Linked DNA regions of Arabidopsis thaliana. The protein of the gene in region 1 purifies or fractionates together with the protein of each later gene. This does not show direct contact. Each region holds a gene or a part of one and is shown on either strand. Other genes may lie near its edges. The genes, in order: PAA1, AT4G08140, CPN60B and Cpn60beta2.

The links.
Region 2: the proteins of PAA1 (region 1) and AT4G08140 fractionate together in Arabidopsis thaliana (co-fractionation; one large-scale study listed by BioGRID). This does not show direct contact.
Region 3: the proteins of PAA1 (region 1) and CPN60B fractionate together in Arabidopsis thaliana (co-fractionation; one large-scale study listed by BioGRID). This does not show direct contact.
Region 4: the proteins of PAA1 (region 1) and Cpn60beta2 fractionate together in Arabidopsis thaliana (co-fractionation; one large-scale study listed by BioGRID). This does not show direct contact.

What each region holds. Positions count from the first base shown.
Region 1 is NC_003076.8:13,762,490-13,770,612, forward strand, and holds PAA1 (proteasome alpha subunit A1), read right to left. Parts: upstream 5,400-8,123; 5' UTR 5,280-5,399; coding exon 5,204-5,279; intron 5,129-5,203; coding exon 5,034-5,128; intron 4,877-5,033; coding exon 4,795-4,876; intron 4,708-4,794; coding exon 4,611-4,707; intron 4,472-4,610; coding exon 4,413-4,471; intron 4,269-4,412; coding exon 4,186-4,268; intron 3,443-4,185; coding exon 3,347-3,442; intron 3,170-3,346; coding exon 3,110-3,169; intron 3,021-3,109; coding exon 2,928-3,020; 3' UTR 2,587-2,927; downstream 1-2,586. Other genes in the region: AT5G35580 (Protein kinase superfamily protein), read left to right, coding at 1-96, 180-316, 526-1,362; HDA7 (histone deacetylase7), read right to left, coding at 7,632-7,673, 7,779-7,869, 7,963-8,105. UniProt on the Arabidopsis thaliana protein: The proteasome is a multicatalytic proteinase complex which is characterized by its ability to cleave peptides with Arg, Phe, Tyr, Leu, and Glu adjacent to the leaving group at neutral or slightly basic pH.
Region 2 is NC_003075.7:5,131,878-5,137,901, reverse strand, and holds AT4G08140 (26S proteasome non-ATPase regulatory subunit-like protein), read right to left. Parts: upstream 2,230-6,024; coding exon 2,177-2,229; intron 2,042-2,176; coding exon 1,921-2,041; intron 1,843-1,920; coding exon 1,762-1,842; downstream 1-1,761.
Region 3 is NC_003070.9:20,713,232-20,722,515, reverse strand, and holds CPN60B (chaperonin 60 beta), read left to right. Parts: upstream 1-3,254; 5' UTR 3,255-3,447; exon of another isoform or gene 3,448-3,834; 5' UTR 3,835-3,842; coding exon 3,843-4,058; intron 4,059-4,156; coding exon 4,157-4,282; intron 4,283-4,361; coding exon 4,362-4,499; intron 4,500-4,581; coding exon 4,582-4,677; intron 4,678-4,761; coding exon 4,762-5,004; intron 5,005-5,119; coding exon 5,120-5,354; intron 5,355-5,441; coding exon 5,442-5,611; intron 5,612-5,699; coding exon 5,700-5,777; intron 5,778-5,864; coding exon 5,865-5,936; intron 5,937-6,018; coding exon 6,019-6,123; intron 6,124-6,197; coding exon 6,198-6,290; intron 6,291-6,377; coding exon 6,378-6,470; intron 6,471-6,562; coding exon 6,563-6,686; intron 6,687-6,785; coding exon 6,786-6,799; 3' UTR 6,800-6,953; downstream 6,954-9,284. Other genes in the region: ECT4 (evolutionarily conserved C-terminal region 4), read right to left, coding at 66-122, 224-370, 470-682, 766-1,338, 1,425-1,946, 2,045-2,100, 2,193-2,337, 2,415-2,491 and 1 more; ZKT (protein containing PDZ domain, a K-box domain, and a TPR region), read right to left, coding at 7,165-7,305, 7,394-7,453, 7,523-7,643, 7,722-7,798, 7,886-7,980, 8,093-8,199, 8,288-8,694. UniProt on the Arabidopsis thaliana protein: Binds RuBisCO small and large subunits and is implicated in the assembly of the enzyme oligomer. Involved in protein assisted folding. Required for proper plastid division.
Region 4 is NC_003074.8:4,386,563-4,395,562, reverse strand, and holds Cpn60beta2 (TCP-1/cpn60 chaperonin family protein), read right to left. Parts: upstream 6,349-9,000; 5' UTR 6,199-6,348; intron 5,895-6,198; 5' UTR 5,879-5,894; coding exon 5,675-5,878; intron 5,593-5,674; coding exon 5,467-5,592; intron 5,383-5,466; coding exon 5,245-5,382; intron 5,164-5,244; coding exon 5,068-5,163; intron 4,977-5,067; coding exon 4,734-4,976; intron 4,661-4,733; coding exon 4,426-4,660; intron 4,309-4,425; coding exon 4,139-4,308; intron 4,047-4,138; coding exon 3,969-4,046; intron 3,878-3,968; coding exon 3,806-3,877; intron 3,722-3,805; coding exon 3,617-3,721; intron 3,536-3,616; coding exon 3,443-3,535; intron 3,360-3,442; coding exon 3,267-3,359; intron 3,176-3,266; coding exon 3,052-3,175; intron 2,953-3,051; coding exon 2,939-2,952; 3' UTR 2,548-2,938; downstream 1-2,547. Other genes in the region: AT3G13480 (nuclear polyadenylated RNA-binding protein), read left to right, coding at 1,715-2,175, 2,322-2,379; ECT2 (evolutionarily conserved C-terminal region 2), read left to right, coding at 7,343-7,370, 7,652-7,728, 7,819-7,966, 8,062-8,132, 8,215-8,781, 8,908-9,000.

The DNA.
Region 1 (8,123 bases):
TGGTGAAGCTGATCGGATATTGCTGCGAGGAAGCACATAGACTTCTTGTTTATGAGTTCATGCCTCGTGGAAGTTTGGAGTCTCAACTCTTCAGAAGTGAGTTGACTTTTTTTTATTGTAACCATCAAATAGAAATGATCATTTCATTTTAAGAACCAGAACTGATGAAATTGTTTCAGGGTGCTCCCTACCGCTGCCATGGACAACGAGGTTGAACATCGCTTATGAAGCTGCAAAGGGTCTACAGTTTCTACATGAAGCCGAGAAGCCCATCATCTATCGCGATTTCAAGGCCTCTAATATCTTGTTAGATTCTGTAAGCAAGCATTCTTCTTTTTTGATCTTAAGGGTTACACCAAACTAGACCATTTTAGTTTTAGAGCGGACAATAACCTAAAATGGACATATTTGTTTCTTTCTATTCAAATTATGGTGGAACCGCAAATTACATCCATGGTCACCATTCAAAATTATAATTGCTTTTGGATTTGAATAGACTTTTGATGTTTTGATTTCTTTTTTCAGGATTATACAGCGAAACTCTCGGACTTCGGGCTAGCAAAAGACGGACCACAAGGCGATGATACACATGTGTCGACTCGCGTGATGGGCACACAAGGGTACGCGGCGCCAGAGTACATAATGACAGGTCATTTAACGGCTAAGAGTGATGTGTACAGCTTTGGAGTGGTGTTGCTTGAGCTGTTGACAGGTCGGAAATCGGTGGACATAGCGAGATCATCAAGAAAAGAAACCCTCGTTGAGTGGGCTCGTCCAATGCTCAACGACGCACGTAAACTCGGGAGAATAATGGACCCGAGGCTTGAAGATCAGTACTCAGAGACCGGAGCACGAAAGGCAGCAACTCTAGCTTATCAATGCCTAAGGTACCGACCAAAGACAAGGCCAGACATTAGCACTGTTGTCTCCGTTCTCCAAGACATCAAAGATTACAAAGATGATATTCCCATTGGGATATTCACTTACACCGTTCCTACCAAGCCACGCCGGGAAGTTAAAGAGACAAGTCTTCAAAACTTTGACAAGCCACGCCGTGAAACTAAAGTGACAAGTCTTCAAAACTTCGACAAAACACGCCGTGAAGTTAAAGATACAAGTCTTCAAAACTTCGACAAAACACGCCGTGAAGTTAAAGAGACAAGTCTTCAAAACTTCGACAAAACACGCCGTGAAGTTAAAGAGACAAGTCTTCAAAACTTCGACAAGCCTCGCAACGTTTCCACGACTGATAACCATCAAAAGTTCCGGTCGCCCGCACACACGGCAAGAAACCACCGGATAACTTTGAGAAACGGATATAATTCACCAATGCGTAACGAGGCCGGAGGGGAACGGTACTGACTACTGAGTTCTCTTCTATCCTCAATTCGTAATCTTTTCATTTTTTTTACATAAGATGTAAATAGTAATACATTCTTACCACCAAAAAAACAAAAAAAATCTAGTTTAGGTTTTGCTTTCTATACCTAGAATAGGTTTTGGTTAGAGGTAAAGTTGATTTTTTTTTCCTTGTTTGATTCTTCAATCAAAGAAAGCAAAAGTGTTAAACATATTGTTGTTTTTCTAATCAAGTTGTAATAACTTTTGGTCCTAAAGAAAAGAAAAAAATACATTTGGTGTTATAGAAAGACGCGTTATAGATCACTCGTCTATATGTTTTTTAAGTCATCCACGTCTCTAACAGCTGGAGTTTGATAAAGTACTATCTAAACTTACAATCATTATGTCTGTAATGCTTGACACGAACCTATATGATGTACACATACTTCACTTTTTAATTGATAGTTTTCAGGATCACTTTACTTTCCTTTTGTAAATAATTGACATTAAAGTTTAAGAGGCCACAGGGCAAAATGATCATCTCATATAGCCTATAGGCCTTCAACTAGGCTCAAGTAAGTTTATCTAGGAGTGATTTTGGGTGTTGCAAGCATTAATAATGAAAATTTCGGATTTTGGAGCGGATTTGGTTCGGGTTATTTTAGATTCGGATAATTAGGATGAGGGAGTTTATTATCCGTTCGGATTATATGATTATTCGAATTCGGTTTCGGTTCGGATGGTGTTAGATTCGGAACGGTTTCGGATCAGTTTTTGATTTAAAAAAAAAACAAATTAAAAAATTGTACAATTTTAATAAAAATCGTTTAATTTTACTAAAATTTGGTTTAATTTTGCAAAACATTGTATAATTTTAACAAATAAAAGTAAAAAAATCGGACAGTAAAGTTATTTCGGATATTTTTGCTATTTAGTATTTTTTGGATATAAATTATAACTAATATTTTTAGATATATAATTTTATTTAGGATTAGCGGATATCCGTTCAATTTTTGGTTCGGATCGGATTTGTTTCGGATAATTCAGATAGGAATATCCATTATGTATTCGGATTTTGTGACTATTCGGTTCGGTTTGGTTTCGGAGCCGGATTTTTGATCAATTTTTGGATTTTATGCCCAGCCCTAAGCATTATGCCGATGTAAAAAAAATTTGACTGATCCTAAAATTTTTGACTGATCCTAAAAAATTGGAATCCATAACCTAAACCTTTTTTGTTGAAAGGTAAGAATGATCCCTCACTTTCTAACAACTGAAACCTTAAAACGAATTCGAGTTTAAGAACTGGTGAAGACGAAGACACAGCAACTGCAACGATAGAAATAAAAAGCTAGAAAGTGATGATATGAGTAAAGTTGGTGTCATTTCTGAAGAGTCAAAAGACTCGGAAACTCTCACAGCCTTAAGCATTACAGTGCATTTTTGTTTTTCAAGTTTGCTGGGTTGACTAAGTAAATTAAATTATGGAAGGAAGACCAAACAAAAGATCGATGGAGAGTGGTCACTTTAGAGGAATGTCTGATAGAAGCGAAGCAACGTAACTCACACTTGTTTCACTAAGTTGATCAGTCTCGTTCACTAATGGCTGTCAAATGCTCCTCAATCTCCTCCGTTGTCAATGCACGGAATTCCGGGTTCTCTGCTCTCACCACACCTACCTATCATTTCACCAAACGGTTTGATAAGATATATAACCCACAAATGATACAATAAACTTGCCATCATATACGAGAAGAGTTTTGTATACCTCAATCTCAGTAGCCTTGAAGTCTTCTTGAAGAACAGATTGCAAAGCCGATATGGCAGTCTACAAACGTATAAAAATATCAACGTGAGGAACAATGTGCATTTGGTACTTCATCAAGAATATTAATAGATTTGTATCTACAAAGTAACAGCACAAGTAATCAGCAGCTAAATGAACATATGTTACCGTATTCGAACATAAGCAGGGAAAATATGAAAGATAATGCAAATAATTTACCTGCACGGTTTCATCAAATGTGAAAGATGGGTTTTCTTTCATTTTCTTCTCCAAGAAATTGACTGCTTCTTGTTCCTTCATACCAGCACTAGTTGCCTGCACGAATACAGTTGCTTGTCTATTAGCTGCTTTTCAATTAACATGAAATATCTACGACTTTTGAGAGAGAGAATAATTTTTTTGTATATCCTATCCTCTAGAGATCTTGGTCATATAGTCCAGAAGACTCATGTGTAACCTGTATGTAGTCATGTCATTGAATAGATACACAAAACGTGTTTTGTTTCAACCTAGGATCAATCAGTTACTAAAAGTAGAAATGAGCACGATGCTTAAAAACCTTTATACATAAGATTCCTAAAAAGTGTTAAGATCAGCGAAATGAGAAAGACAGGATTGAAAAAGTTTCCTTTATTCTTCTCTGTAAATCTACAAATGAAAACAAGTAAACTAATGAACCCAGGAGCAACCGGATACAAAGAACTAAAGTGAGAGTTATGCTATCTTATAGAGTACCCAAACCTATCCCAAAGTCTGAAAGGCTTACCACAAACAACCCAAATGACCAAAACTCTCCGCAATTATGACTAACTCACTCCTATAGTCATATTATACTTTTTTCGTTTATGCTTATCACAATGACTTATAGACTGAGGCATTTTCTTCTATGTTAGTGACAAGCAGTAAATAGTGTGTAGTGTATGTCAATATGCTTGTAAGACGATATTATTCAGATATGTTATCAATAAATCTTGATGCAGGCCAGCAAAAGCAATCAAAACAGTAAGTATTAGAAGACAAGTTTAGTTAAAGTATAAGCTACGAGTGATAGATAATACCTTGTGACCGTAAAAATGTCCAGCTGGGTCACATTTGTAAAGTAAGGGACCATTCTCTTCATCAACACCCATTACCATAGCGACTTCATAAAGAGAGACAACAAGAAAATTCCTTTTGTCAGCCAATAATATTCATCAAAACGTGAAGGTGATATAATACGCATCAAACACAAGTAGGCACTAATGTCTAGATTGGTCTTAAGAAAAGAAAAAGATAGCAAACTTGCCAACTCCAAGGGGTCTCATGTAAGCATGTTGAGTGTAGACCTGTGACTTGTCCGCTATCCTGTAAGTAAAATAGTTATTTATCAGCAACACCATTTATCACAGAAGAGCTAGATAGATCAATAACTATAAGCCAGCCTCCACTAAGAAGTTAAAGAACCATCTGAAAAAAGAGACACCAAGTCGATTAGCAACGATACCATTTAGCAAGAATGTCAACAGGCATCTCATATCCATAAGTGAACCGAAATTCAGCTGCTTGATTCCTTGCTTGTTGAACCAAAGACCTTGCATCAGCTGAAAACGAAATTCACATGTTCAAATTACCATCCATAGCAATAAATTCTACAGCTTAAGAGGAGATAAAAGGGTCATGAAACGAACCTGTAATGCCAGTAGCTACCAATCCAATGTACTTGGTGATAGGGAACAGATGTGTAACACTAGACTGATCCAAAAGCTTGTCCTGTCCCAACCCAAAAACAAAAACCCTAATGGGTAAGATACACCAACAATCCTCAATCTACTAGAAACCTAAATCCATACAATGGTTCAATAAAAGACGCAACTTTTTTGCAAACCCTAAAAAAAACGAGAGACAATGAAAAGAGAGATTCACTCACAGGAACTTTCTTCTGGGTAACGACGCAAACCGAATCTTTCCCACGAACTCCGATTGAAGTAATACCAGCTGTTTTCACGGCCTTGAAGGCATATTCTACAAAAGCAAAAGTGTGTATTCAGTTTTCAGAGCTCGAAAAGGAATTGAGAGTGGGAATCGGAGAGTACTGACCAACTTGAAAGAGACGACCTTCCGGTGAGAAGATAGTGATGTGACGATCATAACCAGCGCCGCTTCCTCTACTCATCTTCTTCGATCTTCTGAATTCGGTGGAGTTGAATCAGAGATGTGTATATAACAATAAGGAATGGAATTGAATCAAGCTTTATGTCCAAGACAGAAGAAAAAAAGAGTCGAGGTGGTGTTTTTACTATTTTGCCCTTTGATGACCACTTTATTTACTCTTCTGCCACTTTAAGATATGCGATTTAAGATGCAATCAATCATATAGGAAGAAAAATATGTATTTAACTAAAATTAAAATGGAAAATATTAAAAAGATACTTTAAAATTGTTATAAGTTTACTTTCTTATTACAAAGATTAATAAAATTTCTAATTTCTAACGAATTTTATTTTTAATCACAAATTTTTATGAAAATAAAGATATAAACTATTTAGGTATCGATGAAAGTTTGTGAAAACATTGTAATACAGTTTAGAGAAACTTTTGAAGAAAATTTTAGTGATATATTATCGACACATTGTCTTGAGATCGGATTAGCCACATAGTAAGTTAGTAATTTGTTGCAAGAACTGATCAAAATCAATCCAACATGAGTGTAAGCCACGACGAGTGTAACGTATGGGAATTGAGTATTGAATTTGTGGGTTATGAAAGAAGAAATGTAAGAACCTAGAGATCGTGAAAGACCCCAAGTCTCGCTTTCGTAGTGAGCCACGACTTCTTCAGGTAGGACTCTACAGAGGATTGACCATGAAGAATGAGAGTTTTGATGGTGGGTGTTGAAAAGTTTGCGGAAAAAGGGAGATTCTATGAGCGATTTCATTGCTTGCAAACTAGTTTTGAAGTGGTGATGATTGTTAGTGGTAATCTCGCAAGTATAATTGCCCATAGATCATCTGTTAAGAAAATCATCTCCTTCTTCTTCTTCTTCTCTTCTTTGTCTCCATCCCAACTCTGTTCTGTCTACGTTCTCGTTTACTATATATAAATAAGGAAAAAATACACACGGGATAAAACTAAGCAAAATATATCCAACCGAAAATAAATAAATTATATCCAACTTTTAGCCTTTAGGCCATAAATATGTTTTCAGATTTTTAATGATTTTTGATTTTTGAACAATATTTGCAAAACAAAATTATAAAAACTCATGAAACTAATTCCCCTAGAATTTCTAAAACCTAATCAGCTTAAAAAGAAACGTTTAAAAAGTATATTTAAATCTTGATCGGCTAATTTACATTATAAGAATACTCAACTATATGATCAATACATCAACTAGAAAATCAAAATGATTAATTCCTATTTTTTTTCTTATTCCTATTTGAAAGAGGTTTATTTTTCTGATTTTATCCATATATTTTTCCAAAGTATTTAAGAACTGATTATCCTATTATGATTTGAATTAAAGCTACTTTTATTGGGGAAACTGGAAATCAATCATTGATGGTTGAGATGATCGCCCAAGAATATGGAAATCATGAAGATTGCAGAAGGATCTAAAATATTATCATATCTTAGTTTTAGTAATATTTACATTTATCAAATATATATGATTTACATTTAGGTTTTATCTTTGATTAGGAAATCTCATCTCTATATAAGAGAATGTATATTGTATCATTATTCTGTTCTTTACTCTCATCAAATATATAACCTTTTGATTCAAGAAAGGAATGATGAACAAAAGCCATGAATATTGTTTTTTTTTGAAAATAATTAAATTTTACTTAGATAACTTTACTTCATTGTGATCTGGGATTTTAATTCAAGAAAGTGTATGCATCTCTGTTGGCTATCATGATGTTCTTGGCTGAGCTTTAAATTATGAGCGTACGAGCCAAGTTCAAATCAGAATTTTAGGCATTAAGAAGCTCATTTTTCGGTAATAATTAGCATATATTATGTGATGAGTTTATGGTCTTGGGATATGCAATATCAGGACTCTTGTTGTTGAGTCATATACTTTGCTGGTTCGTGATTATTTTATTGACTAAGGGACTAAAGAATCTGATTTCTTATCACAATGAAAAATTCCATGTGTGTAATTGTTGATTTTTCCTAGTTGAACAGGCTGCATATAGATATAGATATCATTAGTTGTAACTTACCATGCATTTGTTCTCTCTTTCTTACATTGAATTGTTGCAGAATGTGCCTTATATGTAATTTGTGGAGACTTTTGTCAACAAAAATCTGTTGCTTTCTATAATATTTGAATGTTATTGTAGTATCTCTACAATGTTGATTTTATACATCAATCGTTCTTTTCTGTACATGCTCTAAGAACAAACTCAGAAAAAGGTGAAATTTGAATATGAAGAATCCTTCTCCTATGACACTACTTTACCATTTGCCTTATCCAAGAAAATGCTAATCGTTGTTAGAGTCTGGTTCATAACTTGGATTGCACTCAAATGCGTGGATCATTTCTCTTCTCCATGTCCACTTCCGCCTAAAGATATGTCATGCGAATCTTAATAACCTCATTGGACAAATTAAAACATATCCAGTAATGAGAAAGATAAAGTAGTAATGAACGAATGAATAAAGATTTTACCGCTTCAGTGGCTTGACTGCTTGATGGAGTGTCTTGAAACGGTACACTAGGTGCGTGCATTACTAGAGAAAGTTGCGCTAGTAAAGTTTCCCTATAATGGATTTACAAAGAGGTTTAGAAAGCAAAAGTTGTAAACATCTCAACTATATTGGCACCAAACTGATCAGCCTTTTTAAAAGGTTACCTCATTGTTATAATATCTAATCGTGTGTTTAAATTCTGCCTGTTGGTTGGCAATATATGAAGCTTGTAATCTGGACGAAAATACTTCATGTAATCATTGCCTGGGAGATCATTGTCAAGTTGTTCTCCAACCGCAATCGCCGTCTGCAACAATTAAAAAGC
Region 2 (6,024 bases), on another chromosome or scaffold:
CAAACACATAAACTGAAACAAAACAAACACAACTACTTAAAACAAACAAAGAGCATGAAACGGAACACATTACAAACCACATTACATAAACTGAACACATTAATAACTTAATTCAATAGATCAGAGATTAGCTTGTTCTTAAGAGTTATCTCTATGTCAGTTAGAGGCTCAGTTTTGGCAAAGATTTGTTCAAGCAATTTAGTCAGACCAATATTCTCTTCTCTTCTCTTCTTTGTTAATTAGCTTCTCTCTCGCCGCCAAATCTTTCTCCTTAATATCCCAAATAAGTTGTAACTCTTTCAGATTGTCACCAGACGCACTACTCGGCTTGGCTTGGAATTTGGTATTAGCTGCCTTAACTCCAGGGGAACGAATTTTGCTTTGGCTTTGGTTCTCTTCAATGCCAGCTGGAACACAGACACTTTCTTCTCTTTGTTGTTCTTTGCACTTTCTTCTCTTTGCTGTTCCTGTTGTAGGAAACTCACTTAACCAGTTCTGCTCATAGCGAACCGCACTCCAAGCATGTTCAAGGGTGAAATTGGCGCCATAGTCCTCGTAGAAAATCTGATGAGCCAAGTTCACCAAATCATCATCATTTTGGCCACTTGTTTGGTGTTTGGTTGCAGGCATAAAGCTTCCCACATACTTGTTCACACCCTCATTTATTTTTGCAAATTTCTGTTTACAGCATAATGTGCTTCTTTTTCAAAAACCTTTGAGCTTCTGACTTGTAGCAAAATAATCAGTTATGCGTTGCCAGAAGGTTCTAGACTTTTGCCCGTTGGAAACAACATGATCCTTGGACGTGTTCAGCCAGCTAGTTATCAGGACCAAATCTTCTATTAGAGACCATTTGCGTCTTGATTTCCTCTCTGCAATTGGCGCTTCATCTTTCTCTTGATCATCAAACCAATGTACTAAACACATGGACATCAGATGATCCAAGTTCTATGTTAGGTGGAAAACGTTCAAACTGAATTGGTGGAATGGTTTGATTCTCTTGAAAGATGATTAGGGAAAGATTTAAAGGAATCCATAACCTTGTTTGGTTTGGTTGTTAAAAAGATAAGAGAAAGATTTTTCAGCTTGAAGTTATGTGATTTAAACTGTGTTTTTCAGCTTGAAGTTATGTTGTTAAATAGATGCGGTTTTAGAAGCTTCAAGTTAGGGTAGGGTGTTAAGTTAAAGCTCTTTGATATTGATCACAGAGAGCAATAAATCACATAGAGCTTTTACTTACACTTAACCTACCAAGCATTCAATAAAATAGACCATAACTATGATAATACTTTTACCCAATGTAAACCACTCCAAAATACACTAGTTAACATGCATTTATCACAGTTAAAAAACAGTTAGCTTTTATTGCTTAGACCAATTCAGAGAAATTTTGAGCGCAATAACTAAGAGAGAGCTTTTAAAAGCTTCAAGTTAGTATTAGGTGTTAGAATTTTTTTTTTTTTTTTTTTTTTTTTGATCAAAGGTGTTAGAATTTTATTTAACCATAGAGAACAAATACTTTCTTCTAAGCATTTAAAATATTAATGTAATGCTATCTCAACTCAAAAATATATTGCATTTAAACAGAGAAACAAATAAACTAATCAAAAGCAGACAACAAATAATCAAAACCGGACATCAAATAATCAAAAGCAGACATCAACTAATCAAAAGCAGACATCAAATAATCACATATCAAAAGCAAAATCAACAAATCAAACTCAGACAACAACTACTAGATGAATTAAAGAAGGCTCAGTTCTACCTTCGTGTTATCAAGAAATAGTGCAATCTGTAGAGCGTGGTAAGGGCCAGGACAGACAGGATATCAGAAATGTACTTCTGCAAACATAGCAAATGTAATTTTTAAGCCATACCAATATAAGAATTGTTAATAACTTGAAATCAATGATGACATACCTTGAGATTAGAATCAGCCATTGTTTCATGAAACGCTTTAAGAGTTACATACTGGGGACGCAGAAACTTTAGTGGTTTGGGAACTGAAGTCATTGAACTTGTTAAAGCTCGGATTTCCTGCCTACAAAACCAAAAAAAAATTAAAAACTCCAACAAGGGTAGAACACAAGGAGCAGAAAAGAAAGAAAAACTTTATAAATTATGAGCTTCAAAGACAGTAATCTGAAAACCCGAAGCTAATCAAGTCAAGAATTACCTCATACTCTCAAGAGCAGCCTTCTGCAAGTCCGGATTAGGATCCTGAACCATCTCAACATAGAGCTTAAGGTTCTGCTTTAGTTCCAAATCCTCTTAAGACTACAATCACAACCCAATGTAAGTCGAGTCATTAGTCCTGTGAACATATATAAAAAAAAAAACTCTCCTCACAGCACAAGTTAGCAACTTTTTAATCCGGCTATACTAATGACGAACAAAACATTCACTTTGAACATGCTTATTGTTTTGTTTTTGTATATCTCCTTATGCTTTGTAAAACCACGTACAATACTGTAATTGATATGTTCTCGTAATAAGAAAAGAATACGAACCCACTTAGTCTTCATAATTAGATTCATCATATCGAATCAAAGATGAAAAGATTTATTACAAAAATAAACCAAATTAAAACCGATAAATAAGTTTTTTTCTACTATAGACACAACATTCCAATTGCCATGGTGATTGAACAACCATAGGAAAAAACGATTATCATCTTCATTTCTTCTCTCTTTGTTCTTTTCCATCCTCTCTTTGTTCATTTCCATCTTCATCATTCTAACTTCCTCTTTGTAACGCCCGTGAACCGGAAAATCAGTTAGAGTTTGTTTTTAAATCATCCGGTTTAATTGATTGGGTTAATTGGAAACCTTAGAGTATGCCTATAAAAGAAGTAAACTCGAAATTAGGGCTTTGGTTAGCCACTTTTCGTTTTATAAAGGAGAAAAAGAGAGAAAAGGAGAACGAGCAGAATCGTTAGGGTTTGGGAGAAATCAGTTTCGTCATATCAAATCGTGGTAAAAGGTAACGAAATTTGGCAGAGTTATTCCCAAGTCCTTTATCGTTATTCTCCAATTTACAGAATTGGATTTGGATTCAAATTGGTTGAGTTATTCGCAGTTTCGTGAGACACGTTTTCTCAGACGCGAATTAGGACCAGCGGAGATTGAAACTGAGATCGTGGTCTCGTCTGTTTTCCGATCGGCACGAGATTTTGTGGTCAGCTTTGTGACGTCTGCAGCTAGGATTTCACCGGAGAGATTGAATAGTTAACGGTTAGTTTGTATTTGAGGGTTTCGTCTTTGAGACTGCTTGTTTCTGGTTTTTCCTGTCCAGTTTGCTTCAAGGTTGCTTTTGGTTGTGGACTTTTTGTAGGACGTTTCTGGACTGTTTCAGACGCAAGGAGAGTCTCTCCTGGGTTTAATTGCTATTAGAATCAATTTGTTAAGGTGAGTGCGTGACCATGAGCTTATCTGAGCGATAGGGTTGTGTGATTTGTTTTGTGTGATGATATGTAGGTGTGGTGAATGTGTTTTGGATGAATTGTTCAATGACTGGTTTGTTTGTATTGTATTCGTGATTATACCTTTTTATTTGCTTGTGTGTATAGCTCGTAGATGGGAGGATCGCCTCACTAAGTATTTATGATAATACTTACGCATCTCATTGTGTTGTTGATACAGGTAAAGATAAAGTGTGATCGTGGAATCATGGCAAGGAAGAGAGGATGATCTAGGAACTCGTTTGTTTTATTTTTGGTGTTTTTGGTTATTGGAACCCGGTTAGGATTGTTAGTTATTCTTGGTTTTGTTGGTCGAATTATTTATTTATTCATTAAATAGTATTTTTGACTTGTGGTTTAATTGTTATTCTATTGGTTGGTTTAATTAGATATTTATGGAAATATTTAATTATTTTTTTTAAAAAAAATGGGTCGGGTTGTTTCAATTTGGTATCAGAGCGATTACGGTTCTAAGATGTGTAGAAAAATTAATTGATGAATTATTTTCCTGTTGATTGATGTGGGATGAGCTAGGGTGTTAGCATATTGAGGATTGATTATGGAGTGTTTAGTCAATTGTGTGTTGTTGGAGTTCTAGCATCATCTTCTCCAAGCCTTAAATGAGATTCCACGGTAAGTTGTTTGTGATATATTCGTTTGTTTTAGTTTCTTAGCCATTTGTTTTTGAGTAGCGCAGATGGTTAGAGGAGCTGGAGTTCGTGGTCGTGGTCGCGGTCGTGGTCGCGGTAGGGGACGAGTCCTCGAGGGTACCGGCGAGAGTGATGGCCACAGTGCCACAGTTGAGCAGAGTGGGTTCGCAACCTGAGTTTGTGGAGCCCGGGGTTAGGAACGGTCTTGGTGCCGATATAGCTGGTGCAACCGGAGTGGGGGCTGGTGGTGTCGGTACCGGTGTGCATGCCGTTGGTGCTGAGGGCCCAGGAGTGATGTGTGCCGCAGCCGGAGGAGCCCAGGTTCCAAAGGTTGGTTTGGCGGGCCTTGTGAGGCAGTTGTTGGAGCGGTTACCAGGTTTGGTACCAGTGGAGGCTCCAGTTGCGCCACGAGCGGCGGAGGTGCAGCAGCGGGCTGCGGTTGCTGAGAAGGTTCCATCTTATTTGGGGATGATGGAGCAGTTGCAGAGGATTGGCACCGGTTATTTTTCTGGTGGTACTAGTCCTGAGGAGGCCGACAATTGGAGGTCGCGGGTTGAGCGGAACTTCGGTTCAAGCAGATGCTCGGCGGAGTATCGGGTAGATCTAGCAGTGCATTTTCTAGAGGGGGATGCACATTTGTGGTGGCGGAGTGTGACTGCCAGGAGGAGGCAGGCGGATATGTCTTGGGCAGATTTCGTGGCTTAGTTTAATGCCAAGTACTTTCCGCAGGAGGCGCTCGACCGTATGGAGGCGCATTTTCTTGAGCTGATACAGGGTGAAGGAGGACCTTCAGAGGTAGGAGGGGGGAGTGAGTCCAGCGGTACAACCGAAGAAGACTCAGCAGCAGGTGGCACCTAGCAAGGGCAGCAAGCCTGCGCAGGGGCAGAAGAGGAAGTGGGATCATCCTTCCAGAGCTGGACAGGGTGGTCGTGCAGGATGTTTTTCTTGTGGGAGCCTTGACCACAAGGTGGTGGATTGCACGCAGCGAGCTGAGACGAGGGAGTGCTACCACTGCAGGGAGAGGGGACATCTCATGCCGAATTGTCCTAAGGTGCAGCGGATGGCAGTGGCAGTGGTACAGCCGGCGGTGCAGCACGGAGCGCAGGTGCAGCAGGGAGTGCAGCAGTTGGCACATATTGCAGCGGCACCGCAGGGTTACACTATGCGTGAGATAGGCGGTACTAGCAACAGAGCGATTACTGGTATGATTTCTGAGACTCAGACTTTGTGAAATATTTCTGTTGTTTTGGATATCATTATTTTGTGATGAATGTTAGGGTTCTTAGCACATGAGGTTTGTGTAGGGACCTTATTAGTGGGCGGTGTAGAGGCCCATGTGTTGTTTGACTCTGGAGCATCGTATTTTTTCATTACCCCGGAGAGTGCCTCGCGCGGCAACATCCGTGGGGATCCTGGTGAGCAGCTTGGAGCCGTCAAGGTTGCTGGAGGGCAGTTTCTAGCGGTTCTGGGGAGAGCGAAGGGTGTGGATATTCAGATTGTAGGGGAGTCAATGCCAGCAGATTTGATTATCAGCCCTGTAGAGTTGTATGATGTTATTCTGGGAATGGATTGGTTGGATCATTACAGAGTACATCTTCATTGCCACCGTGGGAGAGTTTCTTTTGAGCGGCCAGAGGGAAGGTTGGTTTATCAGGGAGTGAGACCTACCTCAGGGAGTCTCGTCATCTCAGCAGTGCAGGCAGAGAAAATGATCGAGAAGGGATGCGAGGCTTACCTGGTGACGATATCTATGCCGGAGTCTGTGGGGCAGGTAGCAGTGAGCGACATTCGGGTTATTCAGGACTTCGAGGATGTGTTTCAATCGTTGCAGGGATTACCACCATCACGGTCTGATCCTTTCACGATTGAGTTGGAACCAGGGACAGCGCCGTTGTCTAAGGCACCCTACAGGAT
Region 3 (9,284 bases), on another chromosome or scaffold:
ACCCTGATTTTATCTTTCACTACTTCTTCATCTTCCCACCGTATGCAGGGATCTTTATACGCATTTTACATGGTAGAATCAACAGTTCCTGGTTTCTCATCATTGGTTTTTCCTTCCCAGACCTGTTAAAGATATATGGGTGCATTTCAATACTAGAGAGTAGAGAGGACAAATGTAAATGCATCTGCTTATATCTATGGAATTAACCGTTTTCTTCTCTTGCCTGCTTCTGGGATTGTTGCTGCTTAGCTTTCTTCTCCAAAATAGTCTTTTGTCGAGCCTCGTAGAACGAGAAATCATCCAAAATGCATGTCTTGCTGTTATGCTCCTTGAAAATCTTTACAACCTTCAAACCCTGCTCCAACTTAACCTACATACATGATCACATGGAAAGAGTTTGAACATTGAAAAGTGGAAAATATTGCTGGTAGATCAGAAACATATAGATCGAGAAGATATAAACACTTACCTCTTGTGTGTCTCTACTGTTAGTAACAGGTTTATTCTCATTGTACTCTAGAGTAATATGCTTAAGCAAACTGTTGGGAACATCCTTCAGAATATGCCACTTGAGGGGAAATGAGCCAGTCCATTTATCCTGTTGCCAGTACTCAATATTTTTGTTGAAATCAACTGGTCCTTTCATTTCCGCAAGGCCAATAAATTGTCCACTCGCGTTGACCTGGAGACAATTGGGGTATATACTCAGCATCGGGAAACAAAACGAATACACAATATGAAATAAACTAAGAATTAGGTACAAACCGAGAAGAAGAGAAACACAGGGCAGCCACTAGATTTCTGCTGAGCCTCTTGATATGCAGCATCAAGCTTCTTGTTTCCATTTGGGGTGCTAGCCCATACATTATATTTGATGCTCTTATGCACATCATCTTCACTGTACGACTTGATGATAAAGAACTTAGCATCTTTATACTCAACTGGAAAATCGTCTCTGTTGCACTCTTCTCTATCTGGAAGAACGCATGTTACAGTCTCCTCAGTATTTGATTCATCAAACGTCTGCTTTTTCACCTCCTCTGAGCTAACCTCTTCTGTGGCCTTCGTGCCCTTGGCTCTAGGGCCCCTGTTTAGTTCATTCAAGCCATCAATGTTCTCATTTCCATAGAAGTAACTGTTACCCCTTCCCCGGCTTCTATATTTGTTGTCTGTATTGAGCCATCCTCTTTCATTTGTTCTTGAACCATATCCAGAAGAACCATAACCCATACCAGACCTCACCGTGCTACCATACTGACCATATGACTTGTTTGGAGACACTCTGTCGTAGTAACCCTGAGCTGCATAACCTGTCATGGATGCAGGCTGGTACATACTCTGCCAAGAATAGAATGAGGCTATCAGATACAGGGATTCAGATAGAGAAGAAGACTTATCATACAAAACTGACTTCCATATCATACCGTGTAATGCGAATTGGAGCTAGAGTTTTGATTCCTAGTCGCAGGTACATTGTTGTTAGCCTTAGAATATGAGGATGCAACTCCACTGCCAGAAACAGACCTCTGCACATCTGAGAAGTTAGAGCCATCGTGCCATGACACAGGAGTGTAAAACCCATCATAGCTATACCTGGGGTCCTGATAACCAGCAGCAAGACCACCTCCAAGAGCACTGTTTCCATACAGTGCACTCTGATTCAATGGTTTAACAGGAGCTGATCCATTCATTCCTTTAGGGATACCAGCAGATGCAGAGTTGGCTGCTTTGTTTGTAGAGAGCTTGCTCTGAGTAGAGGCAGGAACAGACGAAGCGAAAGGCCCACTACTGGCTGTGAGAGGAAAAGGATACTGGTACTGCTGAGCACCATACAACTGTCCATCACCACCAAGTTGTGGAGCAGGGCTTGTTGCTGGTGAGTAAGGAAAGGCAGCATACCCGTATCCCTGCGGATAAACAAGAGATGCATTCTCTCCGTAAGCTCCCTGGAGTGATTACCAAATGACTAAGTAGGGCAAAAGGTAAAAGAGAGGCTAAATAGTCTGGACACGAGTTGCTTATAAGAAAATATTAACGCACGTACTGATGTCATATCAACACTCTCGGAATTGGTATAACCTGTGTAGTCACTCCCATAACCTGAAAGATTATACAAACGGTTGTGTTATAGATATTACAATAATTCTAGACAGTAGAAGGCTGAAGATATATAAATGAAACTTAATTATCACCATAATAGTAGGGCTGCTGATACACATTAGGAACATAGAAAACAGAAGGATCCAAGGCATCACTGGGTAGCATAGGTGACAAAGATCGATCAAAAGAAGGAACTTGACCATTCGAATCCATAGCTCCATACTGGTAAACACCCGTCTGCAAAGATAATGATGCTATGAGAACTCTGCTTGGAGTAACAAAATGTGCAGAGACATTAAAAGATGTAACTTTACCTTCTTAGTAGGCTCAGGGATCTCCAAAGTCCTAGACTTTGAATCTAAAGACAGTTTCTTCAATACATCAGCAGCTTCTGAAAAAACAATGTAAGTGAAGGAAACAAATAGGTTTCTATCTTCAGCAAGACTAAAAAATTGATTTTTCTAATCAATTTATTCACTTTGCTAGCTACAGGAACAGTCAAATTCATCGAGCTAAAACAAACAGAACAAATGGAAATGACATCATTTCACTATATGAATCGAATTACGATGAAGCAACTAGATTCATGAACGTAGATCACAAAAGAAATGAAGGAGAAAAGAAACAAAGGCAAAGGATACGATCAGCAGGAGGAGCAACAGTAGACATGAGAACAGAGTTGGCAGCGAAGACTGATAATAGATCCTTGTCGGATATTGAACAATAAGAGTTTGAGACAAACACAAATATCAGAGCAAAAAAGAACTCAGAAGGAATCTAGGGTTTAAGAGATTGAATCGTAGCCGCAAGAGAAGAGAGAAGAAGAGGAAGAGGCAAAAGTGGTTTTGTTCGTTCACCTCGATTTGATTCAAATACCTCCAAGATCCCTTTTTTATATTTTTCTATTATTTTTGTTTACCTTTTTCTCCATCGTTTTTTTTTTAAAATACTTCCTTTATTCCAGCCACATTAATATTATACTAGTCACTACGAAATATCTCACAAAATAATACTATAAATATTATTTCCTCGAAAATTTCGCAATTAATCGGGAAAAAATCAATTTTTAAAATAAATATCACTGATTCCAATTCCATTGTTAGGAATTAAGGAGCAAGAATAAAGGCCCAAATAGGCCCAATATAAATCTGATCCAGGATCCGAAGAGTTGAATCCAACGGCCAAGATTAACTCAAAGCTTGAAAGAGGTAAGGGAACGTTAAAAGCACCTTCCAAGCGAGAGTAAGGAGATAAACCTACTTCCTTTCCTTGCTTCAGCTCCCCTTTTCTTATCCGGAAACCAAAAACTTCCGGTGATAAAACCTCCTTCGTCATCTCTCTACTTCTGTTAGTTTCTTAATCCTTACTCTTGGAATAGTTTATCCTCTGCATTTTTTAGTGCCACAGTTTATGTGTGTATGTTTTGTTTGGATAAGAATTTGTTGTAAGCTTTTGAAAACTTGTATTAGTTCATTACTTCCATGATTTTGGGTGTTTTGTAATAAAATTTATGGATTAGTGTTTCTTCAGATTGTCAATTGTGTTCTTATTGAGCTCTGCTTTCGAAGGTGTCGCCTTTCTTCTGGTTTGTTGTGAAAATTTATTACTTTAGCTTACTGGGTTGTTGTTTCTTTCTGTTATATTGATTGTGTTAACCGTATATAGATGAAAAGAAGAGTCTTTTTTATATCTTTGAAATCTTATCTAAGTGCTGAATTTTGTCTGTCTTTGAAGTGGATAAAATGGCGTCAACTTTCACTGCCACATCTTCTATTGGTTCAATGGTTGCTCCGAATGGTCACAAATCTGATAAGAAACTTATCAGCAAGTTGTCTTCAAGCTCATTTGGAAGGAGACAAAGTGTGTGTCCTAGACCCAGAAGATCCAGTTCTGCAATTGTGTGCGCAGCAAAGGAATTACATTTCAACAAAGATGGGACTACCATTAGGAGACTTCAAGTAAGTATCTTTTTTAAAAAAAGTTAATGGAAACTTCATTCCCAAACCGGAGCTAAAGGTTTACATTTTCTGTGGTTTCTAATTTTGTGTTGTACTAGGCTGGTGTCAACAAGCTCGCAGATCTTGTTGGTGTTACACTTGGACCCAAAGGACGAAATGTTGTTCTTGAGAGCAAGTATGGATCACCACGAATTGTTAATGATGGTGTGACTGTTGCAAGAGAGGTATGGAATTATTACCCCTCTGATAATGATTTTTGTTCTCATTCAACTGAGTCTTAGAGTTTCAAACTTTCTCCTGTAGGTTGAGTTGGAAGACCCGGTTGAGAACATTGGCGCTAAGCTTGTGAGGCAAGCGGCTGCCAAAACCAATGACTTGGCTGGTGACGGTACAACAACATCTGTTGTTCTTGCACAAGGTTTTATCGCTGAGGGTGTCAAGGTCTGTGTAACATTCTTCTTTCAGCTTTCTCTATGTGAAACTTCAAAAACTTTTGTACTAATTTTAAGATTATCTTATTCAGGTGGTAGCTGCTGGTGCAAACCCTGTTTTGATCACCAGAGGTATTGAGAAGACAGCAAAGGCTTTGGTTACCGAGCTCAAGAAAATGTCTAAGGAGGTTTCAAATTTATAGAACTCTCTTTCTTTTAATATGTTAAGAGTCTTTTTCAAAAGGTTCTGAATGTAAGTCATGTCGATGTAGGTTGAAGACAGTGAACTTGCAGATGTTGCAGCTGTTAGTGCGGGTAACAACGACGAAATTGGAAATATGATTGCTGAAGCAATGAGCAAAGTGGGCAGGAAAGGTGTGGTGACCCTTGAGGAGGGTAAAAGTGCCGAGAACAACCTCTACGTCGTAGAAGGAATGCAATTTGACCGTGGTTATATCTCTCCTTACTTTGTGACAGACAGCGAGAAAATGTCCGTCGAGTTCGACAATTGCAAGGTAGATGTTTCTTGAATCTGAGTAGAAGATGAATTTTGTTGGCAGACTATTTAGCCACTAAAGATATTTATATATGAGTATAACAACGATCTTTAATGTTTTGGTATGATTGCAGTTACTTCTCGTTGACAAGAAAATTACCAATGCAAGGGATCTTGTTGGTGTTTTGGAGGATGCAATTAGAGGCGGATACCCAATATTAATTATTGCTGAAGACATTGAACAAGAAGCTTTAGCGACTCTTGTTGTAAACAAGCTTAGAGGTACACTGAAGATAGCAGCTCTCAGAGCTCCAGGGTTTGGAGAGCGCAAGAGCCAATACCTTGATGATATTGCCATTCTAACTGGAGGTAAGTTCTGTCTGCATTGATGAGCCCTATGTTTACGCATATATTTGTAGTTTTTATCTTGTCCTAATTTTCTATCTTCGCTTGCAGCAACTGTGATCCGTGAGGAAGTTGGTCTTTCACTTGACAAAGCTGGAAAAGAGGTTCTTGGTAATGCTTCAAAGGTTGTCCTCACAAAGGAGACCTCGACCATAGTGGGTGATGGAAGCACACAGGATGCAGTGAAAAAGCGTGTTACACAGATTAAAAATCTTATTGAGGTATAGTAAAAGAGTATAGCATATATGGGACCTCTTTTACTTTTTGTGGATAGTGTAGTTACATTGCAATGGTAATTGGTTTGTGCAGCAAGCGGAGCAAGATTACGAGAAGGAGAAACTCAATGAGAGAATTGCAAAGCTCTCTGGTGGAGTTGCTGTGATTCAGGTAAACTAAAAACTATTTAAGTTTCCTTTGTCTGATTAAGATGTGTTTCAGAGATATTAAGTTAAGCTCGTTATGTATTGGTTAAAGGTTGGAGCACAAACTGAGACAGAACTCAAAGAGAAGAAGTTGAGAGTTGAAGATGCTCTTAATGCAACAAAGGTGATTTTGTATTTCTGAGGCTTGAGAAGCGTGTTATTTGCATACTCGTGAACTATAACTAATCAGGATTTTAATTCTTCAGGCCGCTGTCGAGGAAGGTATTGTTGTTGGTGGTGGTTGCACTCTGCTTCGTCTTGCTTCCAAGGTTGATGCCATTAAAGCCACGCTTGATAATGATGAAGAAAAGGTAAATCAATCAAGTCTTCAGATTTTAACTCATGAACCTTCGGTTTCTCTAACTTTGCTGATGATTCCCTTTAGGTTGGAGCGGATATAGTTAAAAGAGCACTAAGTTACCCCCTAAAACTAATCGCCAAGAATGCTGGTGTTAATGGAAGTGTAGTTAGCGAGAAGGTAATAACAACAGATAACATAATTCCCACTTTTTTATCTCTAGATTTCAAGTCAGATGCTTGAAGAGATGTCTCTATTCATTGGCAGGTGCTTTCCAACGATAACGTGAAATTCGGTTACAATGCTGCAACCGGCAAGTACGAGGATTTGATGGCTGCAGGAATCATCGATCCAACAAAGGTAAGTTTTCTGTGCATATACAGAAACTGTCTTTGCTAGCTAAATTGGTCATCAAAGATCCATGAACCTGAGTGGCTTTATCTTGATTTTAGGTTGTGAGATGTTGCTTGGAACACGCAGCTTCGGTTGCAAAGACTTTCTTGATGTCGGACTGCGTTGTTGTTGAGATCAAGGAACCTGAACCAGTTCCCGTCGGCAACCCAATGGACAACTCAGGTTTGTTCAGAATTTCAAATACTTGAGTCTTTGGTAAAGATCCCCCGCATTCAATATTCATGTTTCATTGCTGAATCTTGTTGGCCTCTCTTATTTCAGGATATGGATACTAAGAGGAGATAGGCTAATATTGAAACGGATTACTTTAGCTTGCGAGTGTAATGATTTTGAACAAGAGAATGTGTAATGTGAAACTGAAATTTTGAATTAATCATCATATGAATAAATCATGATTCCCTCAATGCTTCGAAATATCTCGAAATCGCCAAATATGAAACTTTTGATCCAAAGATTTGAAGATTTATTATCACTTCATATGAAATGGTATACGTAAACTGAATGAAATGGTTAAAAGAATTTCTTAAGAAAAAAAGAACACATTTATGATCGAATAAAATTCCTCACAAGTATGTATAGAGCCAAGAAGAGAAGAGAAGCTATGAACAGATCACATCAAAAGACACAAACTTTAGGTGAACTATTTCTTGTTAAAGCCAAACAAGGATTTGATGGCGTTAATGGCACTCTCATTGATGAAAGATTCGTCGAATTGCTTCAGAAGTGGATCGAAATCCTTCGACTTCCTGAGAGTTTCCAGATCTGGATCACTTCTGATTCTCTGCAAACAAAACAAATAACACAGCTTCAACAAACAAGTCCATCCTTCTCTCTGTCTCAATTGAAACATTACAACTCCTTGGACTTACCTTAAAATCTTCATATCCTGACTTCAATGCTTCTTCCAGAGCCGAGAGACCAGCTTGAACCTATCAAAATAACTCTATCAACACTGCAAGTCAAAATGCAATATCTGAAAAGATTCAAAAGCTTTTTACCTGATTAAGCTTTGAGTAGCAACAAGCAACATTGTAACTTGCAACTGATGCTTCTTCTGGTGTTGGTTTAGAACCTAACACCGACTCAAACCTCTCCAATGCTTCCTCATACTTACCATTCCTATATCAAATTACACACATGTCAATGCTCACTTTCCGGTTTCCATAAACCCCTTTGGTATACTCACTAAGTATTTACTTGGAAAATTGCAGCCCTTCACGAAGATCCTTCTCCCGTTGAGCTTTCTGTTCTTTCTTCTTCAAATAGTTTTGCATCTACAATTATAAAAACAAAAACAAAGCTCACTCACAAGCCAAAGTTCATTACTTTTGATGTCACATAATCAAAACTTTTGAGCTCACCTGAATCTCTCTCAATCTACTGCTAATGTATCCGGCATTTCTCTCAGCTCTTATGATCTCCTTCTCTGTTAACTCACCAGTATCTTCAGCCTTACCTGCAAGAGAAGAAGACACAACACATTTTAAACATAACCAAACCCAATAATGAGTTTTGCAGAGAGAATAGATAAAATAAAACAGAGCTAGAATATGGGAAATTCAACAAACCATTTCTCTTCTCCATTTGCATAAGCAAGGGACCAATTCTCTGACGAATTGTGTACATTGTCCTACCGTACTCAGCTGCAGGCCAAATCTCTGTTCCAAATACTGCACTGCATTCTCAATTTTCAAAGTTCCAAGTCAAAACTTTCACAGTCTCTCAAGCTAATCACATTGGAACATGAAGGAGAAAGAACAAACCTTGTGGCAATAACTCTATCGCCAACAGTGAACTTTCCGGTTTTGTCAGCTGATCCACCTGGTAAGATAGCATCAATGTAAGTGCCACCATCTCTTCCTTTCCTGAATTTCAAACCATAAGGCTGCTCCACTTCAATTTCATATGTTTCATACTTCTCTTCTTCTTCTCCGTCTCCTCCTGCTTCAGCTTTAGCTGAAGACTCTGTCTCCGACGCCTTCAAAGCTAAATTCCGGCGTTTGGCAACATGGGTATTGCATAAAGAAGCCGAATTGCTCGAAAGGAAGAGACTTTTGGCGGAAATGAAACTGGATTGAGTGATCAAACTAGGGTTTTGCTTGGTTTGCTGGGTTCTTGGCAGTGAAGGCGAAGAATACAGAGATGGATAACTGCTCGGAGCTAAAGACATGGTGAGATTCTTTTTCTTTAAGTTCGAGCTCAGACACAAGCCAGAGCCAGAGAGACAGATGATGATTAGTTGGATTTTGTTAGTTGAAGAAGACGATTATGTGACGTTGGTTGGTTTTTCGCAAAAGCTTCAAAGTTTCGGATTACACAAGTTTGCATGATTTTAGTGGCTATGCTTCAGTCTTGGTGTTTCGCCACGTGTCATATTGTAATGGTACCTTTAGTTTGATCCTTTTTTTCTTCTTCATAAATTCGCATCTCCCTTCAGTTGGATTCGTTTATTACACAAACAATTGAGTTTTGACTCAATATGACCAGTTCTACAAGAAGACAAGGCAACATGACAGAAGTGGTAACGTTCAGAGCAAGTGTCATTGGCTCTCTAAAGAAACAGAGGAGATTCTAGTTTCATGATTCTTATGTCGCCCGCAAACAATAACTCAGGAAAGATACTGAGATCCAAATCAAGAATGAATCACCTCTTGCTCCTAACAGATTGAGCGGTGAGTTTTGGAACAGATGAGTCTTAAACCAGTTCTTGGGTGCTACAAACTTCTTTCAATTACATACTTGTGGACCACAGATCTATTC
Region 4 (9,000 bases), on another chromosome or scaffold:
CTCCCCTCCTCTCTCTAACTTTTGCTGATTTTCTAATTGATTTCGTGTCGGCAAAGCTTGATCTCCTGTTGTATAGGTCAGGGACAAAGCTAACAACAAAAAGAACTTTAAAGAATTACTTTCCATTAAATGGTTCGAATGTTGTTTAAGAAAATGATATGATATTCGTTTACTTTTTTAAGTTGGAAAAGGACAAGCTAACGCCAAAGTGTAGAAAACTTTAAACATGGACTATAATACAAAGGATTTTTTTTTTCTTTTTTCTTTTGCTACTAAAGTAATACAAAAGATTTATAGTCTCTCTTTCTTGGAGTGGAAATAATGTTTGTGGGTTTTAGCTTTAGATGTCGATGAGGTAACTTGTTGAATGTATCCGACCAATTTATAAATGATTGATGATGCATGCACAATAATAAGCAAAATCTCACACATGTGTGAGACAAGCTGTATGTCTTTTGAGTTTGATTGATCTCGAAATAATATGTCAGAACTCAGAAGCATCCTATGTCGCGTCATTATTCTCTATATTAATTGACATACCTATGTGTATATATCCATTTGGGATTTGCAGAAACTTCGTGCATCTAATAGATTACATCATTCATAAAAAAAATTACAGTATTAGATCATATCTGGATTTGTCAACGATACAAAATATATAGAAATTATTAATTTTTGATAAATACTTTCATTCACGTGGAAACTTCGTGTGACTTATTCCATTAACATTAATCATTTAGATTTGTCCAATTAAATATTAAGATTTGCAAGATTATTGCTGATACATATAAGTTCTCTACACACAGTTCATATCTAAATAAATGTATAAGTTTAATCCTATAAGTAGATGATTTTCAAACAAAATTTATAAGTTAATGGTTTGTACTGGTGATCTCAGTACTGTCATAACCAAGTTTAAACTTGAAAGCATGTGTTAGTGGTAGACATAAAAGTAATATAATTTAATTACAATTATGAACTTAAAAATTCTGCAGCATAGTAATATTTAAAAAAATATATAATTAACTATATACGTAACTAATTTTTTTTAACAAAACACATAATCTTCTCAATAATTATCTAACAGATAAAAAATATTAGAAAATAAATATATATGATATCCTAACAACAAACAGAATCCAATATATAAGATTAAGCGAGGGAACAGTTAATCTAATTAGTTAAAAAAAGACTTCACCTTTAAAGGCATTGAAAAAGCAAAATTCGAAGACTAACTACTTTATCTTCTTCTCAGAGAAAAAGAAGCAAACACTTTTTCATAAATTCTTAAAAACTTGGTCAGTCACTCTTTTGTCTCTCACACAACACAAATTCATAAAAAAGTAAATGCCTTTCTCTCAATTTCCTCTTTTTTTTTTCTTTAATGGCCATGGCTGATTGTTCTCAATTGTGGAATCTGTTCTTTCTCAATTAGTAATATTAGCATTGCGTGGTCCCTGTACTTTTGTCTGCTTCCTCATCTGATCAACGCTTAATTTATGGTCTTTGGATTCTATTGAAGTGTGATATTATATATTGTGGTTATTAACTCTTCCTCGAAAACCTTTTGTTGCTCTTTTTTTTTTTTTTTTTTTTTGTTTCAGAAATCCAGAGATTGAAATCCTCGAAGCTTTTTGAGTCCAATCTGGGCATCTCAATGGGCATGAAAAGGTTGTAACTTTATAAAGAGAAAAGAGGGAAAGTTTGGAATTTGATGATCGGGTGTTTTAAAGACCCAACATATGTTTTGATGAGGGTTTTGCTGTGTAAGATCCAGTGCCCTTCTTTCATCTGTTTCTGTAAGCCTTCTCCTCATATCTACGCTTCTGGTTCTCTCAAATTGGAGAATACTTTTCCTCAAGTGTCTTCTTCGACTACGGTTGTTGATGATCGTGACCATGATGACAATGATGATGATGATGCACATGTAGAAGAAGAAGAAGTTGTTGTTGATCATGTTGATGGTTTGTTGACTGAGGTTGTTAGAGAAGAAGATTGTGCTCTAGAGGGAAAAAAGGAAGAAGAAGAAAGTCTTAGTAATGGGGAAATCTTGAAAAGCAGTCTCAAGAAGGAGGTCTTAGATTCAGCAGATGGTGGGAGAAAGGAGAAGAAGAAAGTACAGTGGGTGGATTTGATGGGGAAAGAACTTGCTGAGATCCGAGAATTCGAGTCTAGGTACTGTCTTCTATGAAGTTTGAATCTTTGTTTTTCTTAGGTTTCTTGGTATGAAGTTTGAATCTTTGATCAATTCAGGCTTCAAAAGATGCTAACTTTGAGAATTAGTTGATTGACATTTGTCTGAATCCCTGTTATATTTGCAGTGAAGAAGAAGATGTTAGATATGATGGCGATCAAAGCTGTGTTTGTGTTATTCTGTGATCAACTCGGCTTAGTTTTACCGGAAGATATGGCAATGGTGAAGGGTGAAGAAGCTTGCTTGAGAATTGGCTCTGTTCAGCTTGTGGCTTTGGATTTAGAATCCATCTACATTGAGGTACATATAGTAGAATCCACTTTTGCTCACCTGAGGTTATATGTCGATTGTCGATTCAGTGTTTACGGTTTTAGAGTTGTTAAAAGAATTGCTTTATATTACACTTGTTTACTTAACCAGTTAATGAAGTTCTTTCTTAGTCAGATTCAAGAAGCTTTTAAATTTAAAGTACACTTTTTGCATTCTATCTAAGTTCCCTCAGCTTTAGCATGTATATAAGATGGTGTTATTAAGAGCACTCAAGATTTTGAAGATCACTGACAAGTTATTCAAAATGATTTCAAATATGATATCTAGTGAACACATTATTCTCTGGTTCAAAAATCACTACACTTGCACAGAAAATTTGTTTGCAAGCTAAAGGAATCCGTATCCCAGTGAGCTACTCTCGCTTCGGAATTTTGCCTATCTCTCAGCTTTACGAGCAAACCTGGTCGGTCTATCTTAGTATCCATAACCTGAAACAAGACAATCGAGAAAGATTCAGTGATGAAGAAACATGAGTTTTGTTTTGATGTCACTGTCCAGTTTTTATGAATCAGAAGGTCTGGACTAACCTGAGTTGTCCATTGGGTTACCAGCAGGAACTGGCTCTGGCTCTGGGATCTCAACAACCACACAGTCAGACATCAAGAACGTCTTTGCAACTGAGGCGGCATGTTCTAAGCAACATCTCACAACCTGAAAACAAAAATCCACTCAGGTTCATTGGATATTTTGCGATCAGATGGGATAGCAAAACAGAGTGAGGGAGTGTATGTGAGAAACTGACCTTTGTCGGGTCGATGATGCCTGCAGCCATCAGGTCTTCATACTTGCCGGTTGCAGCATTGTATCCAAATTTCACATTATCGTTAGCCAGCACCTGCAATAAATAAATACAGCTTTTTAAGCAACTTACGTAGATCAAGAGCTGAATAAGCATGGATGTTCTTATGTTGTTATAACCTTCTCGCTGACAACACTTCCATTAACACCAGCATTCTTAGCTATCAATTTCAGAGGGTAACTCAGTGCTCTTTTAACAATTTCCGCTCCAACCTAGAGATGGGAAATAGTTGAAAATGCAGTAAGAGCAAGCAATTTGCAAAAAATTTCAAAATTCTTGATTTTGCCAATCACCTTTTCTTCATCATTTTCAAGGGTATCCTTGATGGCATCGACCTTTGATGCAAGCCGGAGCAGAGTGCAACCACCACCAACGACAATACCTTCCTCAACAGCAGCCTGAAACTCAATGAGGTCATATAATTAAGATATACATGAGTAGCACGATACCTATAACCCCATCAGCTGGATAAAGAAAATCACCTTTGTAGCATTAAGAGCATCTTCCACTCTCAGCTTCTTTTCTTTGAGCTCTGTCTCAGTTTGAGCTCCAACCTTTAACCAAGATGTAAAAACTTTAATTAGATCACTTAACTTATTCTTCTATCATACAAATCCAAGAAAGTCCATGTGATTACTATTTTACCTGAATTACAGCAACTCCACCAGAGAGCTTCGCAATTCTCTCATTTAATTTTTCCTTCTCGTAGTCTTGCTCCGCTTGCTGCACAACCGCAGTTGTATTAGCATAAACAAACTTTATACAAAAAAAAGTAGCTGTCACAGACTCTTATGCGGTTTGACTCAAACATATACCTCAATAAGATTCCTAATCTGTACAACACGCTTGTTCACTGCTTCTTGTGTGGTCCCATCACCCACAATTGTTGTCATTTCCTTTGTCAGGACAACCTTGGAAGCGTTACCCAGAACCTCTTTTCCAGCTTTGTCAAGAGAAAGACCAACTTCCTCTCTGATCACAGTTGCTGCACACAAAAACAGAAGCAACACGGTAAGGTTTTAACAGCCAAATGATTCCAAATCAGGAGGGCACATTGATTGATACCCACATATAGGTTTTTTGTTATAAAAACATGACCTACCTCCAGTTAGAATGGCAATATCGTCAAGGTATTGGCTCTTGCGCTCTCCAAATCCAGGAGCTTTGAGAGCTGCAATCTTCAGTGTGCCTCTAAGCTTGTTAACAACAAGAGTAGCTAAGGCTTCTTGTTCAATATCTTCTGCAATTATGAGGATTGGGTATCCGCCTCTAATCGCATCCTCTAGAACCCCAACAAGATCCCTTGCATTGGTTACTTTCTTGTCAACAAGAAGCAACTGCACAGTAGAAACTTGTTAGGCTATTTGCATCACAATATCATTTTGGTAGCTCAGAATAAAGAAAAATTACCTTGCAATTGTCATACTCAACAGACATTTTCTCACTGTCTGTCACAAAGTATGGGGAGATATAACCACGGTCAAATTGCATTCCTTCCACAACATAAAGGTTGTTCTCAGCGCTTTTTCCCTCCTCCAGGGTCACCACACCCTTCCTGCCCACTTTGCTCATTGCTTCAGCAATCATACTTCCAACTTCGTGGTTATTACCCGCACTAACAGCTGCCACATCAGCAAGTTCACTGTCTTCAACCTATATTTCCAATGACATAACCTTTAGACCATCTTGCTATAGACTCTCGAAAAATTAAGAAGAAGGAAGTTTTAGCATAATAGTTACTTACCTCCTTAGACATAAGTTTCAGCTCGTTAACCAAAGCCTTTGCAGTCTTCTCAATCCCCCTAGTGATCAATACAGGGTTCGCACCTGCAGCCACCACCTGAAAAATACAAAATTTCAGATTAATATACTGTTCTTCTGAGTATAAAATCAGAGAAAGCTGAAAGAAGAATGTAACAACCTTGACACCCTCAGCAATAAAACCTTGTGCAAGAACAACAGATGTTGTTGTACCGTCACCAGCCAAGTCATTGGTCTTTGCAGCTGCTTGCCTTACAAGCTTTGCACCAATGTTCTCAACCGGGTCCTCCAACTCGACCTAAGCAGAAGAAAACCTTAAGCTTAGAGAAGTAATTAAAAACGAAAGGAACATAATTGGTTAAACAGACAATAAATTTCATACCTCCCTCGCAACAGTGACACCATCATTAACAATTCTTGGGGATCCATACTTGCTCTCAAGAACAACATTTCTCCCTTTTGGTCCAAGTGTGACACCAACAAGGTCCGCGAGCTTGTTAACACCAGTCTAATAACAAACGAGTAATCAGAAACCAAAAATAAAACGAATCCTAATCATTACTCCAGAAAATCAATTCATTAATTCTCACCTGAAGTTTCCTTATGGTAGTCCCATCCTTATTGAAATGCAACTCCTTGGCTGCACATACTATGGCAGGACGGGATCTTCTGACGCACACGTTATGTCTCCTTCCAAACGAGCTTGAAGAGATGCTAGTCGCAGAAGACAACTTGATAGCATTGGGAGCAAGCAACGAACCAAGGGAAGACGTGGCAGTGAATGTCGATGCCATTTTCACTTCTCAAACACTGAAAATCAATCCAACAGTTCACATAAAACGAAAGATTCACCAAAAGTACTAACCAATTAAAACTGGCAACAAAAAACAAAAAACAGATGAATTTCAAAATCAGAGCTCAATCCCCAAATACTCAAAACCACAACTACACCAATAGCCACAAATCTCCGGGAACACGAAAACAAGGTAACATACTTTTTCTCAGCTACTAGTAATACTTGTTAATTCCAATTCTAACAAAACAATCAATCGACACACACAATTACATAGGCGCCAACATTGTGAGCTCAATTGATGGGAAAAGTGACACTCACCGGACGGTGGAACGACGGAGGTGAGGAGAGAGATGGCGCCGAAGAGGTTTATTCCGGATAAGGAGGAAGAAGTAGGTTTCTCCAATGACGAAATGAAGAATGCACTTGCTACTGATAATTTTTTCTTTGAATATAAAGGCGATATGAGCCTTTAGCTCTTGAAACTTCGAGCTAATCTTAGCCGTTGGATGTACTCTTCATTGTTTTCTCATTAGAACTCTCTAGAACGTCGGATGGGTAATCGGATCATGGGTTTATTTCCGGTGGCCTTGTTTGGTGATTTGGGCCTGTTTATGAATCTTTAATCAAATAGGCCCATTACATACTCTCGATCTTAAAATGTTTTTATTTAATAATAGCTTTTTTAAGCTAAGGTAATTTACTTCCTTTTATCCTAAAGGTAAAGTATATTTTCTTGAATAGCTAGTTTTGGTAAGTTTCTCTGAAAAATAGATTTTACTTTCTTTGGTTTTATCTTAATGATTTGCTTTTAGTTTTTAAATAGTTGCTCAAAACAAAAAAGTTTAATATATATTTTTAAAGATATTTCAATGTATATTGGGGTAAATTTATAGAAGAAACACACCTATAATAGAAAGCATGCCCTCTTTTGCTTTTAAATTTGACCAAATTTACTTTTGAATTATATTTTGGTAACAGAATTGAGATTTATATCTATTTTATTACAAGATTACCAATTTTAAGAAAATGGAAAAGTATATTATCCAGATTTTGCAGGAAAAATAACCAAAACCACACGGTCTATAGTCTTCTTTTAAAACAAAAGAGGAAATATCTTAAGGTGGAAGAAAAAAAAAAAAAAAGAAAGAAAAAAAAAAGAGAGAAGGTGAGGTGGTTGATTAGTGGATCTATTTGAATCAGAGGGAGAGGTAGAGAGACAAAACCCTTTTTTTCCTCTTCCCCGAAGCAAAACCCTTCTCCTTCTTGGCGGCTGCGGCCATTTTTTTCTTCTTTCTCTCTTCTATTCTATCTCTTAAACCCTAGATTTGATCTGGGTTTTTCCTGATTCCATTTAGGGTTTCTCTATCTTCTTTTTTTTCTTCTTCTTCTTCTTTCTCTTTGGTCGCATCCCCTTTTATCCGAGAAGGATCTATCCAAATCTTTGTTTGTCGAATCTCCTCTCATGGCTACCGTTGCTCCTCCTGCTGATCGTATCCTTTCTTTATGTTTCTCGATCTGTGTTTTGATTTCTCGATCTTGAATCTGTTGGATCTTGAATCCAGTGAGCTGATTTTGAGTCTTGTTCAGATATATTTGATATTGCCTAGATTCAGTTTCGGGTTTCTCAATATATTTCTCGATTGTTAGGTTTCTATATTGATTCAAATCGATTCATTTGTGGCGAGTTTGATTGATTTGAGAATGTTTGCTTTCCACTATTCTAATGGTTAATTGTGTAATTCTTTGCTTCCTTGACTCACCTTGTTTGTAGAAGCTACAGATCTGTTGCAGAAACTATCCTTGGACTCGCCAGCAAAAGCTTCAGAGATCCCTGAGCCTAACAAGAAGGTGATTTGCAGATTGAATTTTGGTTTTCTGTTGTCACAACTTTTGCTTCTTCCAGTTTTTTTTAACGCTTTTGTTTTGTGTCTTGTGTAGACTGCCGTCTACCAGTATGGAGGCGTTGATGTTCATGGTCAAGTTCCTTCTTATGATCGATCTTTGACACCAATGCTTCCCAGTGATGCTGCTGACCCTTCAGTTTGCTATGTTCCTAATCCTTACAATCCCTACCAGTATTACAATGGTAGCTTCATCCTCAAATCATTTACAATCTAGAAACATTATTTCACTAAATTGTCACCACTGGTTTAACAAGTTTTTCGTTTTGTAACTTTTCAGTATATGGGAGTGGTCAAGAGTGGACTGACTACCCAGCTTACACAAATCCTGAGGGTGTTGACATGAATTCTGTAAGTGTGTGCTGACTAGTTATAATAGTGCCTTTCATCGTCTTTATATTTTCTTTGCTTAACAGGTTCAATATTTTACCAGGGAATTTATGGAGAGAATGGGACTGTTGTGTATCCTCAGGGTTATGGGTATGCAGCGTATCCTTACTCGCCAGCAACTAGCCCTGCTCCACAGCTTGGCGGGGAAGGGCAGTTGTACGGTGCTCAGCAGTATCAGTATCCTAACTATTTTCCAAACAGTGGACCGTATGCTTCATCTGTGGCTACACCTACCCAGCCGGATCTCTCTGCAAACAAACCTGCTGGTGTGAAGACACTACCTGCGGATAGCAATAATGTTGCTTCTGCTGCTGGTATCACAAAAGGAAGTAATGGATCAGCTCCAGTGAAACCAACTAACCAGGCTACCCTTAACACCTCAAGTAATTTGTATGGTATGGGTGCTCCAGGAGGAGGTTTGGCTGCTGGTTATCAGGACCCCAGGTATGCCTATGAAGGGTATTATGCTCCTGTGCCGTGGCACGATGGCTCTAAGTACTCTGATGTGCAGAGACCTGTTTCTGGTAGTGGAGTTGCATCCTCCTATTCTAAGTCTAGCACAGTACCTTCATCGAGGAATCAAAACTACCGCTCAAATTCTCACTACACGGTATGATGTCTTTCCAAACTTCTTTTTGCTAATGAACACCATTGTCTGCTTTACTGGCATATATATATAGCCGCTCAAGTCTTCCAAATTTGTTAACTGACCTTCAATCAACTTTTTTCTTTGCAGAGCGTGCACCAGCCTTCATCAGTGACTGGCTATGGTACAGCTCAGGGGTACTACAACAGGATGTATCAGAACAAGTTATATGGTCAGTATGGT